Linked DNA regions of Caenorhabditis elegans. The protein of the gene in region 3 purifies or fractionates together with the protein of the main gene of each other region. This does not show direct contact. Each region holds a gene or a part of one and is shown on either strand. Other genes may lie near its edges.

Region 1 (8,928 bases), on a different chromosome or scaffold from region 3:
TCTAGGCACAGCCGTGGCAGATTAGGCCTGCCTTGTAGGTAAGCAGGCGATTTTGTGCCTGCTTGAAAGATCTAGTTTCTACTTTAACTTATTGATAAATTTACAAGTATTGAAACTTTAGTTTATTGCTGGAAGATCTACTTTTTTGTTTCATTAAACTATCATGTTCTTCAGTGCTTGCCGTGATACTCTCTCATTGATGTACTCTTGTGGAATGTACGATTGGTCGGGGCAGTTCGCTTTCCACGTAGGTCTTCCAGCCAAATCAGGAGTATCTGGAGATATGATTATTGTGATTCCGAATGTGATGGGTATTGCCTTGTACAGTCCACGACTTGATAAACTTGGAAACACGGTTCGAGGTGTCAAGTTTGCAGAACAGCTCGTACAAAAGTATAACTTCCATAATTATGATAGTCTGGTAAGTTATCTCAAAATAGAAAATTCTAAAGTTAATTTATTTGAGTTTTCTTTCGAAATATCTTATGGTGGGGGCGCAGAGAGAATCTCCTTTAGAAATCGACCTGGAAACGCGCTCCATGGCAAAATGAAAATGCTCCGCCCCCGAACCATGGGTCTCGTTAGGTATTTGGCGGCAAAACCGTATGCAACATTTATTTAGTTTTGCCGATTTTGTCAAATTTTTTAATTTGTTGTAGAATTTTTATTTTTTTATTCCGCCAAATTCCTAACGAGACCCATTGCTCGGGGGCGGAATGTTTTCAATTGTCCGTGGATCGCCTTTCCACGTAGATTACCAAACGAACTTTTCTCTGCATCCCGAATAATATATTTGGTTAAAAATTAGCATTTTCTACTTAAACCATAATAATCCCAATTCAGATCTACTCGGATAATAAGAAAATCGATCCTCGTCGTCAATTGAAAGATGATCATGACGGTCAGAATCGTTTCATGTATGCTACAAAATTGGGTGATATTGCTGCAATTAAACGATTCCTTTTGATGGGACATGATATTCATTGCAAAGATTATGATGATCGAACAGTTTTACACGTGGCTGCTGCTGAAGGAGACGTTGTCACATTGGAATACGTATTGAGTAAATGGCAAGAGGATCCGAATCCATGTGATAGATATGATAGAACTCCATTGGATGATGCTAAACATTTTAATCATACTGCTTGTGTTAAGCTGCTAGAAGAGGCAATTACGGTTTACAATCTTAAAGGACAAGATGATTAGGAATAGATGTTCTAGAAATTGATTTAAATTAATAAATCATTCCATTTTTTGTCATTTGTTAATTTACAGTCAAATTGTTGGAAGAAAAATTGAAAGATCAATTAAAAAAATAAAACTAAATAGAGCTTTATATTATTCAAGAGATCGAATGAAAATTGCTCGGTAAATAGAACACGATGAATGATATTAAAATAACAAAAAAGATTAAGAAAAATTGAATTCTCGTACAAGTTGGAAATCCTTGAGATGATCATTGAGCTTCTGGTGCAACTCCCTTCGTTGGTGGTTCTTGTTGAATATGGCTGAAAATGAAAGCATTATTATGATAATAGAGAGTTTATCCGTATTTTTTGAGCTTCGAAAGTGTTAAACAGAAAAGGAATCACAATCCAGAGCACACTTACAATCTCTTCATCTCGAGTTGCTTATTGTGTTGTCGTGAGTCCAAATCAAGAACAATCTTCTTTTCGATATTTTCTTCAGTATCGGAGAGCGCATTCAACATGATTCTCTGTAAATTCGTACAATTTTTAAATAATCAAGTGACCAAAATCTTACAAAGTCATCCTCGATTGCTTCTGAAATATAAAACAGATCCTGTTCCACATCCGACCATTTTGCTTTTGTCATCGAGGAATAGTCTGATTCTTGAACAAATGTCAACGCCTTGACACTGAGTTGCGGCAAATAGGTTCCTCTGTAGAAATGTTGTTTTATAAGAAACGACTTTTAAATAAATTAAATTTCAATTACCTTATTTTGTAAGCTCTTCCAACATCCAACTTGCAATGGAAGCATTTGATATCACTGAGTGGTTGATTGTCCTCACTCAAGTACTTACTCACCTTTCGCTTCTGAAAAAATTCAATTTTTCACAATCACAAATTGCGTTTCTATGATAAACAGAAGTCGGCTTAGCTGAAAAAAACATTTACTTGAAACATCTGGAAATTGCACAAAAATAGCCTGAAAGTCAATTGTCGGAAAGCAAAGTTCGGAAATTCAGCAATTTGATAATCGGCAATTCGACACTTCCAGGTAATTTTTAAGCACTTTATAAATGTTTCAACCTGAATAAGTTAATTTCAGATGAATAAAGCGATTTTTTTACTTTAAAACGATTTTTTAGTGACAGAAATTTTTTTAATTGTCTTTTTTTTTGAGAAATTTTAGGTTTCGGTTTTTTGGGAAAATGGTTTTACAGCCCTGGTCTACGAGTATAATCTTACAAAATTCATTAAAATTATATTTTCGACAAGCCGGCTCCGGTTTTTGAGCATTCATCAAACGTACCGATTCAACATGCAAAAATCTCCATACACTTGGATCGAACACCATGTAATTCGAGAACACTTTTTTGATATAAATACTCTTGCAGAACTCTTTTGAACAATTGCTGCACATCAATTTATAAATCTTATTCTCATGTCGTAATCTCAAATTGAGTTGCTCTTCCAGATTTCGTTTCCTTTCAGCCGCATTTAGTTCAGCGACTCGTTTCACTTCTGCAGCCAATTGTTTCTCGCCATTCTCTGTGATCTTCTTCACACAAAGTCTCATATACTTTTCAGAGATTAACGCGTTAGTCTCGGTTTCATTGATACTACTCTTCACTGATAAAAGCACAGAACGAGAGTTTTTGGCACGTGCACGACCTCTTTGTTGAACAAGTTGAATGGCTGATCCTGATGAACAGTTGTACTTGATAATAAGATTACATGCAGTAACATCGAGACCTTCTTCAACAACTGACGTTGCCACAATTACTTTAAGTCTTCCATTGTTGAATTTATCAAGTGTCAATTGTTGTTCTTGTGAAGTCTGCTGTACAGCGCCCTGTTTGTTTGTTCCGAGAACATATCCAACCATTTGTTCACCATAATTACCAAATTGATCTAAAACTTTAGATTCGTTCAAGAAATCACTGACACGTTGAGCGGTGCTTCTTTGTGTTACGAAAATAATAACTCGAGATTCAGGAGCCACGTGGAACTGATTGGTGAGTGTATTCTTGAGACGTAGAACAATTTCTGGTTCAACGGATTGAATTGTTTGTTTCAAAGTATCATGGTCTTTGATGAAGGTGCTGTATTCGACTGTCTCTGAATGACTTTCATTCAATTTCCCAATAGCTTTTTCCATGTATTTGAATGCAACCATCGCAGGCATCAGATCAACGATTCCGCGAGCTTCGAGATATACCTAAATCATTTCATTTACAAGAATCTTTGAAAATGAATCAAACCTTCATGTATTTCGCCCAAGTTTGAGAATTCCATTTCTCAGGAACATTCAATTTGTTCAACTCTTGAATAATACCTTGAAGTAATGAATCGTAGTACTCATAATTCTTCGGTTGATTCTTTTTAAACGTGTTAATCATATTCGGTGGGATAGTGTTGTTGCGGCCAGTTGATTTAGACATGCTTGCTAATTCTTCGAGAAATTTGCCATGGGCGTGGTTAAGGTATCGTTCGATGTAATCTCGAAGGATATTTTCTTTGGCAGGCAAGCATAGTTCGACAGCTGAGAAGAATTTTTTTGAAATAATTCTCTCATGAAATTTCATATTCCGAAGAGAAAACAAGTAATTGGTTATTTTTGGAATAGAGTAAATGAGGAATTTACTTTGAAATTGCCGGATTAGCTTGAAGTTAAACAATACCATGAGAAATAAGGGAAAACAAAGGAAATTTCAATACCGTGGTTTTGATTCTAAAGTGGGTTTTCAGCTTCCGAAGGTTTTTTTTTTCAATTCCTGTTTACAACACTTCATTTAGAAACCATTTTTCATTTTACAAGAACAATTTACAATTTTCAAATTTTTTTGAACTGTGTAAACTTGAAAATAAATATTTTTATAATTTGATACACCTAGAAATTTATCTTATTTGTATTTTAAAATTTATTTATGGTTTTTAAGAAAAAAAAAACTAAATTTCCAACTTGAGAACAAACTTACAATCATCTGGTTTTCCAACATGCTCATTGAGCTCATCTATGCTCGATTGGCGAGTGATTGTACTCAAATGTGGAGCGTTGATCAATGCGAGCATATTATAAATATCATTAAGCATCTGATTCTCGTCTTTTTGTCCATCAACTTTGACACTCAATGAAGCTGTCAGACCAATGATTTGTGGTTTTTCATACTTCCATTCTTGAACCATTTGATTAATCAACACATATGGATGATTTTTTGCAGCTTTATGTACTTCATCGAAGATCATCATTGAGAAATCACTCACATACAAACGCTCATTTTGACGTACCGATTGAAGCATGTTGCTGAAATAATTAGTTCGGGTATTATAAAAACCAGAGCTCGATCCGAAAAAATTAAACATTTTATATATCTTGATTAAAATTGCACTCTTTTTATAATTTATAATTTTTTTTGAAAAAAAAAAGTAAAATAAAAAATTAATGAGTTATATCAGAAATTTTCGATTCAGAATTTAATGAACCTGATTCCATTAACTCACATCAGAATTTGAGGAGTCATAACTGATACATGAGTAGCAATTACTTCATCACGACGTCCTGTTCCACTGACACTGCTCTCGGATCCATGAAAACCATTAACTTCGTACATTCCGTTACAATACTTCAGGAATCTGTCTTTTTGTTGACCGACAAGCGGGATTTTCGGCACAAGGAGCACAACCTGGAAAATAAAATTTTATTGCTTCTATATCAAGGGGAAATAATATTAGAACTTGACGAGAAAATTAAAAAAAAAACATACTCTGGAAGGCTTTCCTTGGGATGTTCGTTCTTCAATATGTTTGAGAGCCGCATAAATTGCCACTTCTGTTTTACCAGAACCAGTCGGAGCAACAATAACACAATTCTTTCCTTCGAGAGCCGGTTGGACAAGTTCTTCTTGATAAGTACGCAATACAAGTTCAGTAACCACCGCATCTGGATCTGGAAAAAGGAAAATTTGCACTAAATGTTGGAAATATAATCTTACTGTAGCCGCTGTCTTTCGGTTGTGGACGTATTGTCGTGCAAACATCCTCGCCGACAGCTTCCTCGTTAGTCCGCTGACTTTTCAGTAGGGTAAGGCGGATACGGTCACGTTCTTTCTCTCGTTCTTCTGAAAATTGATTTAGTTAAGCCTAGATTGTAAATCGAAATTCGTAAAATACATCAAATAGCATGAGATGGCCGAATAATAAAAAGTTAGGCATTATTTAAAATTGTATTAAAATAATTTCAGTATTTTGAAATCTGAAGTACAAAATGTTTGCCGCTATTTAATTTCCAAACAAAAAAAAACTTACCAAGCTCTTCTGGCCAGTTCTTATCCAAAAAGTAGAGAGCCGCTCGATTAGCTGGATCATTCTTCATTGCATCAATAAATCCGTAATACCACTCTTCGTGTTCATTTTTCTCTTTTTTGTCATTCGATTTGAATCCGATGATTGCGAGAAACATGGTGAGAGTCTTATGAAGACTCCATTTCTTCACAGCATATTTTTTCTCTTCTCCATTCTCGATTTTCAGCTCGAACGCTGGTCCTTCGGTTAGCAAATCTTCGACCAAATCAGTTGATAGTTGATGATTACCTTTGTTAAATACTTCAAAAGCGAGAATTGTAGTTTCACTAACACAACGTGGATTCGATTTCAGATGCTTCATAATAATCATTCCACGTGCAGCTCCAGCCACTCTATCAAGCTTCTGATATCCAAATGGATTATTGGTAACTTCCTCTTCATCGTAGAATTTATTTTTGAAAGTCTCAGCAGTTAACCAGCCATCAGGAAGATCTTCCCAGTGTGAGTATCCATAAAGTTCTTTATCGTCTGAATTTTACAGTTCAAAACGTTTGAAATTTCACGATTACTTACAGTTAAACATCACTTCGTCAGCAATTCTGAGTCCCTTCTCATCGAACAAAACAGTGTTCAAAAAACATTCCGAGAATCTTCTCTGAAATAAAAATTATTTTATTAAATGTTTTTCAAAAGTGTTTTTACCCTTTGAACTTTCTGCTGATGTGCGTGACGCAATGTAACGTATGTTTCTGCCTGTTTTCTGATTTTAACGTCGAGACTGAAAAATTGGTATTTAAAAAAAATATGGCACGAAAATTCCAGACACCATAATACTTTTTTTTGACCTTTTAAGCTTCTGTGACTCGAAAACTCACGATATTTAAACTTTTTATAAAAATTTAAGTCATTAAAACAATTTTATGTTTTCAAAACTCCGTTTCGACATCCTTGCCGTCACAGATATAGATAACACCGAAGAAATTGTTTTCGTTGGAACGTTTTTCTAATACATGATTTCTCTGTCGTCTTACTCGGCATTTCTGATTTTAATCATGTCCGGGTCATGAGAAACTGGAGTTGGCTCGTCAATGATCATTCTGGCAATTTCTTCCAATTTTCCTGGCGGGAACAGCGATTCAAATAGTTTGAAATATCCGATATCGTTGTTTCGTGTACTCTCCACGCATACATCAAGGAATTTCCATCTAAAATAATATTTAATTATTTGATCGAGTGCAAGGGGGGAAATGTATAATTTTCTTACTTGAGAAGACGAAAATACGCTGGAAAATATGGAGACTCAAACGGAAGGCGAAGCTTCGATTTGTCGTAATCTTCTAAACGTATTGCAGTTGGTTGCATTATCGAAAATATCTGTAGGAAATTATTAAATTAAATTTTGCCGACAAAACGACAAAAAGACATGTTGTTCAAACTGGCGCACAAAATATAAACAAGTGTGGCAGAGGTTTTCACATTAATGATTTTCTCTTCCTCTTGCCAATGATAAAAAGTTAAGAGGGAAATACATGAATGAACAGAAAACCATTATTAGTGTTAAAGAAGGGCAAGTAGTGTCAGGAAGGGAAGTTTTGGTTTCAGTATTCAATATTTAACGATGAGCAACGGCGGAATCAATAAAATTAGTATTTAAATTCTACAACATAAATAAATGTTTTGGCTCTTCAACCTTGTGAGAAAATAAAATCATAATATTTAAAACAAGAATAAAACTTTCATTAAAACTGCAAATTCACGGGAACCGGTGATGGAAATACGAGCAGCTGCCAACAGAAAATGAAGAAAAGAAAAGGAAATTTGAAAGATAGAACAGAAAATAAAATTCTTTCGGCAGGTTGTTGGGATGAATTTCAGCTGATGAATGGCAAATTAATACGAATAACTGGATGAAAAGAAAACATCGAAAATAACATTTTACAACGTTAAAACGAATCGTTGATGCACTTTTAAGCGTCTGGCTTTAGAAGTTCAGCGGAGTTCCTGGCAGCTTCAGCAGCACGGTCGGCGCGTTCTGAAAGAAAATAAGAGAAATGCTTTTTTTCGATATTTAATAAATTATCCATATGAAAAATTGTTAAATTCTTTCTTTACTCAAAAATCGAGTTTTAAGCGGTTTTTTGTAGGATTAATTTTCTAGCCATGAATAAAATACCTTTTTTCACAAAACGCTGCCTTTCGATCTCAATGCGCCATTCGAGAGGAAGTCGAAACCATTCTTCCACAGGATGTTGAGCAGTGAATGCTTCATCGGAGAGAGGATCATCTGGATCCACGTCCACATAGATACTTTTCGACGTCTCTTTCATATTGTCCAATGTAGAGTTTGAACAACTTAGTGATGGATTTTTAGAAATATTTTTATTTTCTGAAATTGCGAAGGTTGTTAAACTTGTCAACTTTTCTTGTAAAACGAACTTTTAGAGGCTAAGTATTTTTGGAGGAACTCTTTTGGCAACCGTTGGAAAATGTAATTCGGGTAGAACTTGGCGAAATTTCCTGTGTTCTCGTACTCCTTCAAGCACTCCTCTACGGTCATTGTTGGCTGAGAATAATGCTGAGAATGATTCTTTCGGGACCCACTTGATTTATTTTTTTTGTTGCCCATCTGGAAGATGAATATCAGCATAAAATAGGACACGGGTAGGGCTGCAAAACCTCGGTAAAGTTAACGTGTTAAACAATAAAAAGTAATACTAATATGAAAAGTGTCATAACATGTAGTGCATATTTCTGGTTAAAACCAATATTGGATAACAATAAAAACCTATAGAACAAAACTTTAAAGCGTTTATTAGAAAACACGAACAACGATACTATAGCTCTATAGAGAAAATTTTAAAGGGAAATGAAATAATCTTAACAAAAAAAAAAAGAAAAAAAGTTCGTCACTTGAGCATTTTCAAAATTTTTGAATAAAACTGTTGAACTCATCACGATGATGAATGCATTTGTGATATGTTACAAGTATTGCACGAAGATTACATCTGGAAAATAAACTCAGTTATTGGAATTATTTAACGGCATTTCTAAAAAAATAAATTACCTTGTTCGAGTAGCCGTGTTTTTCGCGTAGCCGATAAATTTCATTGATTACTGGCTCATTCAAAAGAGCCCACTTATCGTCCGGGTAGAAGCCGTACAAACAGTTCTTGCCACATTGTGCTAAGGGTTTCAGTGGGATTTTCTCGTTATCGCATGATACTCCGTCAATTGACTCGTCCTCTTCTTTCCGTTCAACTTTCACATTGTCGGGGTCTTCAGCCTCCACCGGCTCATCGTTGATCACAGAATCGGAACAATTACCAGCAGTTTCTGAATCCATATGATCTTTCGAAGTTTTTACACAGTCTCCGGTTGATTCTTCTTTCAACACTTCTTCAGAGATTACAGAGCTGGCAACGACCTGTGAAGCTTT
Region 2 (7,259 bases), 720 kb from region 3:
TTCACTTTGCGGATTCTTCGTTGAACGGCAAAGGAAATACTCATACCGTTTTTGTGGACACAGATTCGGAAGGTGAGAACATTTTTTAAAAAGAAAATCTCAAAAATATAAGAATTTTTCAGCCAAAAGTTTCGATCCACGCGTCTACTTTGACACAACCACTTCGATGCTCTCTCGACAATTCAATCGATTGAAAAATGAAGATTTTCAAAATAAAACTATTATTGGAGCTGGTACGAAAGAACAAGTCAGAGTAAGTACCCCTTAAAGATCTAAAACAAATGAAAAGAACAAGTCAGAGTAAGTACCCCTTAAATATCTAAAACAAATGAAAAATCTTAATAAAAATTATTCCAGAAAGCCGATCGTGTACGTCGTACTCGATACAACGAGCTCATCAAACGCGTGGAACGTGCCAAGGAGCTTCAAGTGGTCGTGGACAAGCTGGAATTGAAGAAACAATTGGCAGCTGGAAGCAAATCAGAATTGAAGCCTCAAAAGGTCAAAAAGGCGAAAGCTATGCGAGCAGCCGTCTACAAATGGACCTATGAACGAAAGAAGTAGTTAATTTCTTTTTTTTTAATCCCATTTTATTCTGAATCTTCTTTTTTGTTAATTTTTGCTGTTGAGTTTACATTTTATGCGTTATTGAAATTGTTGACTTTATTGAAACATTGAATTTAAAGAGATCTCTGTCGTTGTCACTGGAAACGGGACCATCGTCTCTCTCGTCAAATCAATCGTCTTTAAAACAAGCGGAGTCAGTGAAGAGGTCTGAGTGAAGATGAGCACGGCACACATGTTGGAATCGCAGCAACAATCTTTTTGCTGATACAATATCTTGTGTTGCACTAGCATCGATCGCAGTTCGCATTTTGGCATCACTGACACAGGTTGTTGACACTTTTGAACATCTGGGAATGGATGAGACATGATGAAGACGGAATCGAATTGACTGAATTTTTCAGGGTCCTAAACAGATAACTGGATTTTCAGAATTTTGTTGAAAAGGATACCGTATCCTTGACACATCCACTGTATATTCTTCCTGGCACCAGTGCCACCACATCAGTCATATTCATAGAATGACATGGATAATTCTCTGGATCATTTAGAAATTTTACTGCATTTGATGATCGAGAAAATATTGATCCAGTATATGGAAGACTTGTCGTGTTCTGTTCCCTATACACTGCTAACAAACCACACAGAAAACGAGGAAATAAATCTGGAAGATCTAGAAACGAGTGGTGTTCTAGACAAGTCTTGACCAGTTCTGATAGGCTCTGAAACTCTTTTCTAGACTTGAAAAATGACTTATTAAGCTCACAATTTTATCTTCAAGTTCTCGAATTGTCCAATCGGGTTCATATTTCTTTTTATCTTCTAGATAATTTAGAAACTTAATTTCCGTCGCATTCGTCTTCACTTCAGCTAACGGATTCATCAAAATATGAGCAATTGATTCATTAAGGAATGGCTGGAGCAGCCTGTTTGGAATTATCGGCTTTTCGAGCAACGCCTTTTCCTTCAGAATTTTAGGCATATGTTTGAGATGAATTATGTCGCATTTTATTGAATTTGCCAGAAAAGAGACGAAAAAGCAGAAAACTTGAAAAACCAGCATCGTTTTGATTGTAGAAATGAATTAAATAATTAATATTTATTGAAGCATAACAAATTAATTTTTTAAAAATATTGTTTTCTATTATTTTATTTGAAATGTTCAGAATAGTCGTTAAGTTTTTGAAAACTAATAAAATTCGATTTCTAGACGTGAAATTTTTCGAAGAGATCACAATGCAAGCGCGCTCTATTGTTACAACGCATGTGGCGCCACGATTTGAACTTTTGTACCGCCACGGATGTGTTTTCTCGAATTTTCTGGCCTAAAATTTATTTATTTTCATTTCATTTCTCTCCTTGCGTTTTTTCTCATTTTACTTGAAAATCTCAATCAGGACGGTAAAGCTTTTGTTTCATTTACTTTTTCTTAGTAAATTTCACTGTTTTATCTCAATTACATCTGAAATTCGCATCGTTTTTTCGTTTCATCGTTTCTTATTTCAGTCAAACATGGCCGACTTGCTCGACAAAATTATGGGAAGTTCGTCTTCCAACAGGATTCCCAAACGAGACAACCGAATGAATCAGGACAAGGACGAACCGACGTCAAAGAGAAGTGGTTCGTTTAGAATCAACATTATGCCTAGGAGTTCAAAATTGTCTTTTTCAGCACCAATGTTCTCTACTCCGAAGTCAACAACACCAATTGGACGGGACTCTTTCGCAACGATGGACACGATGAATGTTCAGATGAACATGTTTCCAGTGGACATCAAGGATATGCCCCACAAGATCCAACGCTTTCAAGTTGACGTCATCGTCTGTTCCAGCAACGGAAAACAGATCAATGCCAACCTTGGAGTTTTGGCGGCCAAGGGAGAGTAAGTATTTAATTTGTATAACCGCTCAAAATCAGTACTTTCCAGTGTCAATTCCCATAACCGTCGCTTGGCACAATACTACATCATGAGAACAGTACATGACAAGCTTCTGGTGAAGTTCAGTGGAAAGAGTCACCACTTCCTTGCTTACGACTGCGCTGCGACTCTCTATCTTCCGGAGGGAGTCTACACTGGTGACGATCAAGAAGAAGTCACGTTGACGATCGATGACTTCCCGAAGGAAGAATGGAAATTCGTGTCGAAGTTGTCTCGCAGAAAGGACGATTCTTACCTTGTTGTTCTCAAACCTGCCGGATTTGTGTACACCCAAGGAGAAGTTGCCCAGGAGGAGGCTAATCGTATGGAGTTGACTCGTATTATCGAAATCGTCACTTCACAAAAGCTCAACAATGAGGATTACTTACAATTTGGTAATGCCACATTCCCACGTCTTTCTCCGCCACACTCGGAACCTGATGCTATTTCGGAGATCCGCTCAGGTTTTGCGAAAGTATCTCGTCTATCGCAAAACGGAGGTGGCAAAGCTTTCATGACGGTTGATACGAAGATTTCTCCATTTTACAAGGATACATCAGTTATCAAGTTTTCAAGCAACAAGTTATCCGAAATGAAAGGTGGAGGCGGTGGAAGAGGCGGATACGGAAGAAGTGACTCGCGAGACTCTCGTGGTGGATACCGTGGCGGCCGTTCCGACTCGAGAGACTTTCGTGGTGTCTATGGAAACCGAGGTGGCAACGACAGGTACCGAGATGAAAGCAGAGGACGTCGCGACATGTACGATTCCCGTCGAGACAGTGGTTCTTCAAATGGAGCGGACTACTCTCCGAGTGATGCTGCTGAGTTGGAACACGCTTTTGGCGAAAGAGGAAACACGAAGCGATGCATTGAAGAAGCACTCAAAGGATTGGACGTGGAATGCACTCACTTGAAGGGTAACCTTATTCGCGTATCCTCGATTGCCGAGAACAATGCTGAGAAGTAAGTTATTCGATAGTTATCATCAGCGTGATAACAATTTGTTTTGTAGCACTTCGTTCATGATGAAGGACGACAAGGGAGAACGCGAGGTCACCGTGGCGGAATATTTCCTGTTGCAGTACAACATCAAGCTGAAATATCCGAGACTTCCTCTCGTCGTCTCAAAAAGATTCAAACATGAATCTTTCTTCCCAATGGAGTTGCTTCGAATTGCTCCAGGCCAGCGGATCAAGGTCAACAAGATGAGCCCGACAGTACAATCGGCGATGACAGGAAGAAATGCGTCTATGCCACAGCATCATGTGAAGTTGGTTCAAGATATTCTCCGCGACAACTTGAAGCTTGAACAAAATAAGTACATGGATGCTTTCGGAATCAAACTGATGTCGACTGAGCCAATCCAAATGACTGCGAAGCTCCTCCCACCAGCTCAAATCAAGTTCAAGGGCCAGACTTACATGCCTGACATGAGCCGTCCAGCGTTCCGCACACAGGACAAGTTTGTCGAACCAGCACGGATCAGAAAAATTGGTATTGTTGTCTTTGACAACTGTATCCAAATGAGACAGGCCGAGTAAGTCGAACGTTGTTTTCTTCTGCTTTATAATATTCTATTTTCAGAGATTTCTGCGACAAGCTGTCCAATTTCTGTCGTGACAATGGAATCACGGTCGAAAAGGACTCGCGAGATTGGTCCATCCGTGAATTGAACTCCAGTGATTCCGTTGCTATCCAAAATCTGATGAAGAAATGGCTCGATGATAGAGTGGACATTCTTGTTGGAATAGCAAGGGAGAAGAAGCCGGATGTTCACGACATACTCAAATACTTTGAGGAATCGATTGGCCTGCAAACAATCCAATTGTGTCAACAGACTGTCGATAAAATGATGGGAGGTCAAGGTGGACGCCAAACGATTGACAACGTCATGAGAAAGTTCAACCTCAAGTGTGGTGGAACCAACTTCTTCGTCGAGATCCCGAATGCTGTGCGTGGAAAAGCAGTGTGCTCAAACAATGAAACATTGAGAAAGAAACTTCTCGAACATGTACAATTCATCGGATTCGAGATTTCTCATGGCGCATCACGCACTTTGTTCGATCGCAGTAGATCACAAATGGATGGTGAGCCATCAGTTGTTGGAGTCTCGTATTCCCTGACCAACTCGACGCAGCTCGGAGGCTTCACATACCTTCAAACCCAAAAGGAGTACAAACTTCAAAAACTTGATGAATTCTTCCCAAAGTGTGTCAGATCGTACAAGGAGCATTCGAAGACACTCCCAACAAGAATCGTCATCTATCGTGTTGGTGCTGGAGAAGGAAACTTCAATCGTGTTAAGGAAGAAGTCGAAGAGATGCGACGAACATTTGACAAGATTCAGCCCGGATACCGTCCACATCTCGTGGTGATCATCGCACAAAGAGCTTCACATGCTCGCGTTTTTCCATCATGTATCAGTGGCAACAGAGCGACGGATCAGAACATCCCATCTGGAACATGTGTCGAGAATGTCCTGACATCCTACGGATACGACGAGTTCATTTTGTCTTCACAGACGCCGCTTATTGTAAGTTGTTCATTAGTTAATTTATTAAATGAAAGTTTCTTTTAGGGTACCGTTCGTCCGTGCAAGTACACGATCCTTGTCAATGATGCCAAATGGTCTAAAAACGAGCTCATGCACTTGACGTACTTCCGCGCATTCGGTCATCAAGTGTCCTACCAGCCACCATCGGTTCCAGATGTTCTTTATGCGGCAGAAAATCTGGCTAAACGAGGACGCAACAATTACAAAATTCATCAGTAATAGTTTATTTTCCTAAAAATCTTTATCAAAAACAAATGTTTCCAGGCGTTACGTGAATTTGCAAGCAGTTGAGAACCGCATCATCAAAGACCATTCGGAACTCATCAACGAAGACATGCGAGAAGAACTGGCGGCAGCCATTGTTGATGAGATGTCCGTTGCAATGAACGGAATGACCATTCCGAAGCGAAACTTCTGGGCGTAATCCCGAGATTCTCTCTTTTATTGTCACGTATTCACCCCCTTTACATATTACCAACATTTTTTATCCACTACCCTATACCTACTCTCTATACAAGTACTTAAATTCCCATGCTTTTGTTTTTCTGAACATTCTTTATTACATTTTTCCCCATAATTGTATCGTATTCCCCTTTATGTTTTTATAATTTCAACTAAGAATCCTTTTGTAATTTAATCTAGAGTAGAGTACATTGACACATAGTTTGAATAGTAGATACTCCTGTTTTACCTGCCTTTTTTTCTGTGCGAATTTCCTCCAACTTTCTTATTAGGAGTTTTCGAAGGCGAAAGAAACTTCCAATTAGAACGTTTTTGGAAATTTCGATTTTCAATAATCTTACTTGCTCTACCCCCCGTCCATTATCATTTATTAAGCAATAAATTATTCGAGAAGAAATTTTAGTTTTCGCTGAAAGCAGTTTGATCGCGATCATTTTTCCGATTTTTGCATAATCACAAAACAAAACTTTTTTAAAATTAAATAGCTTGCAATTTTGACCAGTAAATGTGAAAGTAAACTTTGTTGTAAATTGTTAAGTATGTTGAACAATTGTAAAGGAAAACATGATTTACGCAGAATATTACATTGCACGTTATAAAAAAAAGAATCGACACATTAATAAATACAGAAGAGTATCATTGAATTTTAACACACAGTTAGGCGTCTAGCGAATCGGACTACGTTGGCGTTGACGATGATCGAAACGGTCTCCCTGCTCCCGGTTATTGAAACGACGTCCTTGACTTGGCAAGGAAATCGCGACGTCGACGAAATCACCGACTTCGAATTTGCATTGTTGTAGCTGAAAAACAAAGTTCAATCAAAACGAATTTAATATTGGAGATATTATTTCCGAATTCAAATAAAATTCTAATGGTTCCGTGGTGTCAAAAATCACATACAGTTTTGTTGTCATCAATGCCACGCTCTCCATTCGTCGTGTTTCCCACATCGCGTAGAATGTATCTTGGCGAGCCGCGGTCTGCCTGCACAATAGCGAAATCGAATGTGGTGCCCTTTCTTCTAGCGTCCGGATTCACTTCTTTGATTAGACTGGTCAATTCACGCAGAGAACAGTCCATCCTGAAAATAAAAAAAATACTTCAGGTTAACCAAACTTACAAGTTTGAATGTATTATTGAAAATATTAGACAAAAGTTCTATAATTTCGGCCAAATAGTACTAATTTTTCTATTTCTACCGCGTACCAAGTATGCATTTGAAGTTCGCTGGGTGGAACAGATCCTCCATTTCTACTATTGTACTCGCTCATCGGATTATGACGATTATTAGCAACGAAGACGCGAAGAAGCATCGGACATACTTTCTCACGATCTAATGGTTTATCGTGACCAACTGTCACCTGAGACACGAGTTGACCGTTGCTCATTTTTCTGAAAAAAAAAGATAAATTTGCTCTAAAAAGGGATAATATAAAATATATTTGTTTGGTTATACAGAAAAAAGAGAAAAAAGAAGCAAAACGCCAAAATTTGCATTCGAATGTTTGTGGGCGGAGCGTTCTTTGCAACCCTGGCACACAAGATTTGCAGATATGCCGCGCGCAGATGACATTCTCCTATTTTATTTCGATTTTCACCGCAAATCTTTCTCCGACATTTCCTTGTCGCAAAGTTAACCAACTCAACTATTTTTATCAATTATTGAATTTAAAGTGTTTTTTTCGTTCAATTTTTAAAATTGGTCACTTTCCACGCGGGAGTCCGCTTTACCTTCTCGAAAAATCAATAACGTTTTC
Region 3 (9,062 bases):
GACATAATTGGCGCTTGATTAATTCGATCTATTAGGATTCCGTTTCTCAGTGTGATTTATCGAGATGTGGTGATGGAAACTTTGAAAAAATTATTTCACTTTTGTAGTTATTTTGCACACAGGACACTCAAAAAGTGCTATTGGAAGATCTTCCTCGTTGGGTGGTAACAAATATGAGATACGTTCCTGCATTTGTATTGATTCAAAGAAATAACGCATTCCGCATCTGTGAAAAATGAATATTTATATCTTTTAGCTTCCAAAACAGAAAGAAAACCAACTTTTCACATGTAACACTCTCAGTATTCGCAAACTGATTCACAGCTTTTGACTGTCCTCGAAATTTTCGATTGTCAATTTGTTGACCCGCATAATTCATTCGAGTCGCCGTGCTTACTTCATTGCGTCCGCTGCCACGTGGCATTGGTAGGAGTGGATGGGCGATGTAATACATTTCACTGTAACATTTCTGAGGTTTTTGGCAAAAGCTGAAGAAGAGAATATTACCTATCACCGCTCTGTTCAGCTGCATTGATGTCACATGCTGTCTGATAAGTCCATCGTCGTTTGTGGCTTACCATGGTTCTGAAAAGTGCATTTTTATTCAGGTTTATGCTGCTTATAAACTTCAAAAATTTGAAAATAACCGCGAAAGCGTTTCGGCTTAAACAAATTTTACTAATTTTATATGTTCAGTTAACTGTTAACAGTACTGTTGAAACCATAAAGAACAACAACAATAAATTGGCTATTTAGATGCCAACGACAGAGAAAGGCACCGAAAATGATGGGAAATGTAGCTTTTTCAGCCAAAAAAAATAAATTGTAAAAATTTTGTACATGTAGTATGCGAGTTGTGTATAACAGTAAATTTGAATCGGAGTGCCATTTTTTAAATTTAATATTAATTAATGAAATGTTTTTTTTCGAAAAATAACTTTCATGAAAAAAAGAGAATGAAAGATGGGGTTTTCACAGCTTTTGTTTCATTTTCCGAAATGAGGGAGTTTAAAATCCATTAATTTTTAACGAAACTCACGATGCACCATGAAATTCCCTCGGTGGATGGTAATTCCTGTTTCCTTTGATTTCTGGAGATGCAGAGGAGTTGGTAGAAGACTCTGGAGCAGAAGAACTTGTTGCTTGAGGCTCAGATGTCGAAGAATATGCAGAATTCAAGTCAGAAGACGAAGAAGATGATGATGATGAAGTTGAATATGATTCAGTGGAACTAGATGGAAGAGAAGATGATCCTGTTGCTCCACTTGCCACATCATCAATCACTTTTGTGAGATTTGGTGAATCTGTGTCCAAATCTTCCTTTTTCTCAATTTCTTGACTCAACTTCTTCTTCATATTCTCCCGAACAACTCGGCTTCTCAAACCATCCGATCGGATGAAGACCACTTGTTTCTCACCGAACATTAATCCTGAAAATACGTAATTCATGTTAATTTTTATTTTAAATTTAAAATCTCACTCATTTTCCTTGCTGGTTCTTCTACTTCCACTCGTGCCAAATGACTAATTGATTGAGGTCGTCGAGCTGATTCTTCAGATTCTTCATTTTGAGTAGACATTTTCAGTTAAATCCAGCTGTAAATTTCAGTTTTATCTAGACAAAAAAGCGAGAAAATCAAATTTGAAAAAGCAGCGAAGCATGATTTAATTATAAAAGTCTTGATATCTATGTACCTTTATCGTTTTCTCGTCATTCGACCATAATAATTATTGATCATTGTTCAATATCTCTGCGTATCTTTTCTCTTCATTGATTCACATCTTCGATATATTCACGCGCACATCTAACGCACAGCAAACACGAAAAACACGAAAAATACTTTTTTTTTTGATTAACACTTTATTTTCATCAAAGTTAAAATTTTGAAAAAGATGGTAATTATAATAAAATTCTGAGAAATAGCCTTGTAGAAAACATTGAGAATGTGTACTAGAAAGCGCTTTGGATTCGCCACGGAAATGGACTCAATAAAAATGGGGGAAAAATCAAAGTGGTTAGCACAAAAAAGTGAGAATAAGAATTCGCTCCAATAAAAATTTCACAAAAAAGAAGAAAATGATGGTTTTGAGCGGCAAATTTGAAATTTCAGTGGGAAAGGTACGGGGCTTTTATAAAAAATGATGGAAGAGAGTAGATAATTGTGTCTATAATCATCACGAAACAGGATTAAAGATGAGGTTCGATTCGATAGATGAGAATAAAAAGAAATGTACAAAACGAATAAAAACGATTTCAAAAATGGGAATATGAAGAAATTGAGTAACGAAATGTGCTTTTAGAAGAGCTTTTTGTGGTACCTACTGGGATATATAAGAAACATTTGAAAGCGACGGGACTAGGGGGGAGAATTACACTGTATGTATAGGAAAAAGTTAAGCGATCTCAATTGAAAAATGCACTAGAATTTCAATGAAGAGCGTTTAACTCAACGTATAGAGTATATATGACTGACCTCTAGAATCGCTAGAAATGAGGAAACATAGAAAAAAAAGCCGGGAATTTGGGGGAAATTGAGCATTTTCGTAAAATAGTATAAAAATCTGATAAAATTTGGCTGAATGCGAGAATATTTGGAGAAAGAAAAGAAATGGTTGCTGCACAGGGACGCTTTTTAGAATAGAATTTGGGACAACGATGACGAGGTTTTGTTGTAGTTCAAAATATAAACTTTATAGTTTCAGAGTTTTTTAAAAGTTGATCTCCCGTTTGAAAACGCTGAAATTATAACAAGGATAACAATATACGAGAAAAATGAACGGAAGTGAGTAAGAGTGTGTAGGGAGCCCTATATTTTTTTTGGAATTTTTTGATTTTTTTTGGGCGAGCTGAAATTCAAATTTCACTTAAAATAGATACAAAACGATGCAGTCCTAAGATGAGGCTTATAAGAAAGAAAAAACAAGAACATTTTTGAAACGGAAAGGCGGGGGCGGGTTGAAAAGTTGACAGGGGTAAATTTGAAAAAAAAAACGCTAACGGTATTTACATTTTAACGAATAAAATGGTATAAACTGGATAAATGGGAAATAAGAAGAAAAAACTTAAAATCTTTGGAAAGAATTTGAGCAAAATAAAAAAGAGACGTTTTTGTATTAAAAAGCTTGAGGGAGAGGAGGGGTGGCAAATGAGGTCTCAAAACGAAAGAATTAAGAGATATGGGGAGGGGAAAGAAACTTAGGAACTTAAAATAATGGAACAACACCGGGGACAACAAAAAGGCGGATAAGCAAAGGGAGAAGGAAAAAAAAGAAGACGGCTAGAAATGAGAAAAAAGAAATGTACAAGAAAAAAAGCTTATATAGGAATTGGGGTAACCTCCTCACTGAAACTTGCTGATGAGCGAAGTTGCATGAGGAACTGGAGTTGGAACAGGAAGTCCATTTGGAAGAATCAATGGTTTGAAGACGAATAGAGTGTGGTTATGCTTACACAACGTCACAATGTGACCACTTTTAGCGATTCGGAGACCAACGCACCGAGAAAGCTGAAAATACAAATTGTTCAATATAACTGCACTTTCTAAATAATTTTCAAGATACTTACTCTAAACTCGTTGTGAGTAAATGAATGAATATGTTGTCCTTCGGGTGAGAATACAACAACGTGCAGATGATTTCCATGAGTATCAGCTACAAGAACCTCTCCTGCCTTCGAGACGTCTATTCCAATTGGATATGGGGTCTGTGATGGTTCTCCCATTTTTCGGATGAATTTTCCTGAAAATATTACACTTTTTTTTAATCCAGAAAATTATTACGGTACCTTCAGAAGTGTAAACTTGGACACAATGATGCTTGAAATCCGTTATATAAATCAGGTTATCAAACATGGCAACATCAGAAGCTTCTCCGAGTTGAGTGGAAGCATCGAACCAGAATGTGACTCGTGGTGCATCTACATCAATAGAATACACAAATCCAGCAGTATCAACAAGTAAAAGTTGTCCATTCGGGGTTGCGGCAGCAGCGGATACTTCTATTCCGCCACGTGGAACCAAAGCCATCATGTTGAGACGTTTGACGAATTCACCACGAGCTTCGAAGATCTGAGCACGAGTTTTCCCGTCACCGCCTTTATCGAGTACCACATAACGGACAGCTTCTCCTCTCAGTGCAATCACTTTTCTTGGGAAGCACAATTGTCCGTCATCCGTTCCTGGACGTCCAATCTTCCATGGATGAGGTGGACCACATACGACAACTCGATGATTATTGGTATCAGCAATCAGAATATCATCAGTGTCAGACAAACAGAATCCAGATGGACAATGCAACTCTCGAATAGTGCTTCCTTGTTGAGATGTTCCGAACACACTGTGCACCTTCAGATCGCTGACTCGTTGTGCGTTCGCTGAATTCTGCGATTGACCGACATCCGAAGCAGTAGTGGTTACAGCCGAATTTGCGGCAGCAGTAGCTGCTAGTGCTGCAGCTGCAGCTGATGTGAGTTGAGGATTCAAACTCAAATTTCCCATTGCATTCATCGCCAAAAACTCTTGAATTGTTTGATTGGTGCGCAGGTTGTTCTGAAAATAAATATTAAGCATGTGTTGTGACTGCATAATATGAATAATGAATAGTATTTAGGAATGTTTCAAAAATAGAGCTTACCATTGACATTATTTGTGGATTCAATCGATGGCTGGCAAGTGCTTGTAGTTGAGCCGCTGCTAACTTCTGCTGCATATAGGCGGCTGAAGCATTAGTTGACAGACCAGTAGTTGTTGGTGTAGCCACTGCTGGAAGCCCTTGACGAGCATTCCACATCGCTGGGAAAATAGACTCTGGCAATGGAGTTTGTGATCCATTTGTTGATCCATTCGTAAGTGCTGCCAAATCCATGTGATTTGCAGCCAAGGCAACCAGATCAGGACGCATACCAGCAGCCGCAGCAGCCATCGCAGCTGCATTAGGAAGATTCGAAAGTTGCTGTTGAGAAACAATTGGAGCAGCTGTCTGAGTCGGAGCTCCAGTTATCATAGTTTGAGGTCCAGTAACAGGTGGGGGAGTTGTCGATTCTGGTGGATGACTGCTTGGTGGCCATCCGCCGAATGCATTGCTGTCTCCACGAGTACCATTGGTTCCATTCTGTGTGTTCTTCTTACGTTCTCCACCAATTGCACCGAGTTGTGGATTTTGTGAATAAACAGGGCGTCCCCATTCTGAAAGAATCAATATTAATAATCAATTTATAGAGAAAATAATCAATTTACCATCTTGTTGTGATGGATTAGCTGCTGAGCTAGATCTTCCACCTCCTGGTTGAGAACCTCCTCTTTCACTTCTATCAGTTGATGCTGCAGTTGCATTTCCAACGTCTTTAACAGTTGGCTGAATCACTCGTCCGATAACTGTTCCAGTTAGTTGATGCACAAAATGATCAATTTGTTTTTTCGATGGAGTATAAAACTCAAGTTCCACTTGGTGTCCATGAGATGGAATAGCATGAGACAAGTTTCCAAATTGTTGAATAACTTTTTTCCTCGAAACAACCAACTCGAGACCATTTCCTTTGGTAAGAAGTCGGCGAGTGAAGTTGATGGCATCATGTACTCGTGCTTCGTTAACTTGTGATTTACGGTACATTTCATCAATGTTAGACTCTTGACGGATTCGCGCCTCTTCGAGATCGTTCACGCTTTTTTGATAGGCCTCCTGAAATTTTAATATATTTTTCCCTTTAACTCCAAAACATTTAAATTTTGATGCCCTACCTCAATAGAATTGCGTAACTCCTCATAATGTTTATCAACTCGATACTTCGCAATCTCATACTGTTCATTCAACTGTTGAGACTTGTCTGGAAGGCTATTCATATCAGCCACAGAATTGTTATATTTCTTTTCGACACGATCCACAGTACTTGTCACATCTTCCCTTATAGCATTGATCACAAGCTCGTTGATATCAATGATTTTATGATTCAAATGATCAACTTCCAGGCATTGCTTACAAGCCGCTGTTTCACATGCTGCACACAAATATCTCATATGCTGATTATGAGTGGAGCACATGACTTGACGAAGTTCTGGATGGGCTCCAGGCTGCCGAAGATCAGCAAATGTGGTTACAGTGTGACCTTGGAAAAGGTTCATGACAGTATGAGCAGTTGTGCAGTTTTCGCATAAATCTGAAGAGCATTGATCACAGAATGCGATGGCTTCTTGTTCGGATTTGCAGGCAGTACATGGTTTGCGATGGTGGGCAACCATTTTCTCAACTTCAACTTCCTTCATTTCGGCAAGACGAACCTGGAAATATTATATTGAAAACATTGAATCCAAGTTTAGTAATGTTTTTGGTAGATCAAAAGACCAAAATACTATGTTTCAGAAAAAAATTCAACTTACAAAATCCAGGAGCATGGCATGAACATATCGAACATCATTTCCAACATGCGATTCTTGTGAACAAATTGGACATCGGATTACGCCAGGAGGTGTTGGTCGTTCTTTAACTTTCGGTGTTTCCAATTCACAATCCAACATTGCTGCAGTCGCTCGTTTCTTCTCTTCAATGGCAGCTGACTTTGCTTGAAGGTGTCCATCAAGTTGAGCAATAATACAATCTTCGCACATTGAATGAAGACAATCAAGAACTCGCGGTTTACGGAAATCTTGTTGACAGTATGGACATGAAGCATGATCATCTTCTGGTAGTGGTTCTGTGCCAAATAGAGGTGATGATGACGTTGATCTGAAACTATTTGGATTATTTATTTATCAGGAAAAATTAGTGTTTAAAGATGTAATATACTAACAATGGCCTAAAAAAGACCGACTTTCATAACCAAATTCATCAAAAAAAAAATTCAAAATTTGTAGTTGCAGTTCAAGAAATTTCAGAAAAATTGTTTTATTTTGGCTGAAAATTTGATTTTGCCAATTAAAAGATTTAAAAAACAATAAATAATCGATACGGAAAAAACAAAATTAGAGGTTTTAGTTGAAATTAAGAATTTTAATGTTTTTTTTTAACTTATGTAATTCATGATAGCTTACCTCAGTGGATCTTGTCCATTCAAACTGGGCGTTCCACTATTTTGTGTGTTATTTGTGGACGTAGCGGGCGATTCATGCCTACCATTCACCGCCGAAGTCGGCCGATCTGCCGCTTTTTTCATCTTCACGGAATGAACGTTCGACACTTTTCAATCTTCTTATCCGGGTGCTTTTTGTTATTAACAAGCACACAAATACAGAATAAGAGAATATTAAAGTATCAGGGACACTCTTGGAGTGTAAACTGAAATGAAAAATGATTATAAGAAGTTAATTGGGTTTAAGAGTAGTAAGAAATTCGAGTTTCACAGAAAATACATTCAAAAGAATAATAAAAAAATCAAGGAAGGCGTCTAAAGTTTCGGAAAATCAGTGAACTATTCGAACTCTAATAAGAATTACAACAAAAACGAACACCTAAATACAAAAAAAAACAAAATATTTGTTGGTTTGAACAACACAACGTTCAGTTTCAGCGTTTCTTTCAATGTCATAAGACTTATTCCACCTGACCAGAAAATTGTTAGGTTCTACAAAAAAAGAATCACGCGCAGACGAATAAGATACAGAAAAAATGAAACGGAAGAAGAGATAATCAAGAAAAAACAAAGTACTTATGGCATTCAATGTTCTAAATATTCTGCAATGCAATACTAAACAAAAAGCGAGCGCAGGGAATGTTTAAATGCAAGTGTTGTAAACGAAAATTGTTGATTTTAACAGAAAATTTTTAATTTTTAAATAAAAAATGAAGAATTTAAAAAAATTCAAAAGTTTTAAAACAAAATAATGCACTTTGGATGCCATTTTCTTCAGAATTTCACGATAAAACATTGAAATTTATTAGAAAAGCAGAAAGCTGAAATCAAATTCTACCTGTTACTGAAAAATCAATTTGCAAAATTCGAAAAAATGACGTCATTTCGACGAAAAAGAGCAATTACTAGCGCACTTTTGCACGAGACGCGTGCAGACAGTGGCGAGAGAGTATGCAGAATGAAGAGAGTAGTCATAGACTGGGACACCGCTTTCTGTATCGTCTCACACGCATGACACACACTTTCGCGGCCGCTACGCAGAGAAACCGCCTACTTGGCATCGTGCCAGCTGCACTTTCACCACCTCGAGGGTATTTGTTGGCTGAATGCCAAGTGGGCGGAGTGAGGGGCGTGAGGAAAACTGCAAAAGTGCGGCAGGGAAATTCGACGATTTTTTCGGAAGCGGTTGGTGGATGACCATTCGCATGATCATTCAGATGACAAACACTCTATTGGAAATTTTTTTCCGAATTTACATAAAAAAGAATTTAAAATCTTTTTACAATAGTAACGTATCAAGTTAAAAACTTTATCAGACGCTAATTAGGCTTCATAGGAATTTTGTTTACTTTTTTCGCATTTTAGCCAACGAAATCGATACGAGCAGGTTTTTGAAAGGCGCTTCCACTAATAAAGAGTTGCAATTTGACTAAATTAATATTTATTTAAATATATTTTACCAGTTCAACAGAAATAAATACTCAAAAGGGAACAATTTTTTAATAAAAAGCAAGGATTTATTCAAAAAGAATTTGTCCAAGAGGAGTTCTGAAATTCACAGTACCAATTTCGTTGCGGGACCTTTTCAATGGAAAAAGCTATGCTCCTTTAAAATTTCACAGGTACTGTAAAGTTTTAAAGAAATTGTTTTCCTTTTTCGATGAGATTCTATTTTTTGACGCCTTATCAGTTTGACCTCTTTCTTGATATCAGTTGTCTCATTCGTGCATCAATATTCAAAATTGCCTCACCAACTACTTCTTACCTTACTTTTTCAGCTCCAGAGGATACTGAAAAGTGATTTTCATTTGATTACCCTTACTTAAGTTTTAAAATTCCCAATATTTCAGATTAAAAAAGAATGGAAAACATCGAAAAAAGGTCATGAGCGGACGTCAACCACTAATTTCCCCCGGATCTCAAAGAATCGGAGTGAGCAAAGACAGAAAACGGTTGGCAAAAATTTTATTACTTTTAATTTTGAATTTATATTTACAGATTT

What was found. The genes of interacting proteins can lie anywhere in the genome.
Region 1: the proteins of nhl-2 (region 3) and drh-3 purify together in Caenorhabditis elegans (affinity purification with western blotting, with the first as the bait; one study listed by BioGRID). This does not show direct contact.
Region 2: the proteins of nhl-2 (region 3) and hrde-1 purify together in Caenorhabditis elegans (affinity purification with western blotting, with the first as the bait; one study listed by BioGRID). This does not show direct contact.

What each region holds. Positions count from the first base shown.
Region 1 is NC_003279.8:7,818,769-7,827,696, reverse strand, and holds drh-3 (Helicase ATP-binding domain-containing protein), read right to left. Parts: upstream 6,867-8,928; 5' UTR 6,855-6,866; coding exon 6,757-6,854; intron 6,698-6,756; coding exon 6,524-6,697; intron 6,271-6,523; coding exon 6,195-6,270; intron 6,148-6,194; coding exon 6,066-6,147; intron 6,021-6,065; coding exon 5,496-6,020; intron 5,309-5,495; coding exon 5,183-5,308; intron 5,137-5,182; coding exon 4,955-5,136; intron 4,874-4,954; coding exon 4,692-4,873; intron 4,495-4,691; coding exon 4,169-4,494; intron 3,733-4,168; coding exon 3,452-3,732; intron 3,409-3,451; coding exon 2,500-3,408; intron 2,061-2,499; coding exon 1,960-2,060; intron 1,904-1,959; coding exon 1,765-1,903; intron 1,718-1,764; coding exon 1,611-1,717; intron 1,509-1,610; coding exon 1,457-1,508; 3' UTR 1,319-1,456; downstream 1-1,318. Other genes in the region: glna-3 (Putative glutaminase 3), read left to right, coding at 175-421, 844-1,206; D2005.7 (NAM-associated domain-containing protein), read right to left, coding at 7,460-7,524, 7,666-7,878, 7,929-8,118; D2005.4 (TPR_REGION domain-containing protein), read right to left, coding at 8,492-8,497, 8,557-8,928.
Region 2 is NC_003281.10:4,170,971-4,178,229, reverse strand, and holds hrde-1 (Argonaute protein hrde-1), read left to right. Parts: upstream 1-2,070; 5' UTR 2,071-2,076; coding exon 2,077-2,185; intron 2,186-2,236; coding exon 2,237-2,447; intron 2,448-2,492; coding exon 2,493-3,446; intron 3,447-3,495; coding exon 3,496-4,020; intron 4,021-4,067; coding exon 4,068-5,016; intron 5,017-5,061; coding exon 5,062-5,252; intron 5,253-5,301; coding exon 5,302-5,461; 3' UTR 5,462-5,893; downstream 5,894-7,259. Other genes in the region: utp-11 (putative U3 small nucleolar RNA-associated protein 11), read left to right, coding at 1-72, 123-253, 358-564; C16C10.13 (Rab3 GTPase-activating protein catalytic subunit), read right to left, coding at 664-972, 1,017-1,286, 1,331-1,447; C16C10.4 (putative histone deacetylase complex subunit SAP18), read right to left, coding at 6,165-6,302, 6,403-6,583, 6,709-6,890. UniProt on the Caenorhabditis elegans protein: Argonaute protein which is involved in the endogenous small interfering RNA (endo-siRNA) pathway and is required for RNA-mediated gene silencing (RNAi) in the germline.
Region 3 is NC_003281.10:4,891,814-4,900,875, forward strand, and holds nhl-2 (B box-type domain-containing protein), read right to left. Parts: upstream 7,273-9,062; 5' UTR 7,145-7,272; coding exon 7,023-7,144; intron 6,718-7,022; coding exon 6,372-6,717; intron 6,273-6,371; coding exon 5,736-6,272; intron 5,677-5,735; coding exon 5,235-5,676; intron 5,184-5,234; coding exon 4,633-5,183; intron 4,548-4,632; coding exon 3,785-4,547; intron 3,739-3,784; coding exon 3,566-3,738; intron 3,507-3,565; coding exon 3,342-3,506; 3' UTR 1,845-3,341; downstream 1-1,844. Other genes in the region: F26F4.6 (TFIIS-type domain-containing protein), read right to left, coding at 91-226, 282-458, 508-585, 1,040-1,430, 1,481-1,580; tag-340 (START domain-containing protein), read left to right, coding at 8,945-9,012, 9,059-9,062.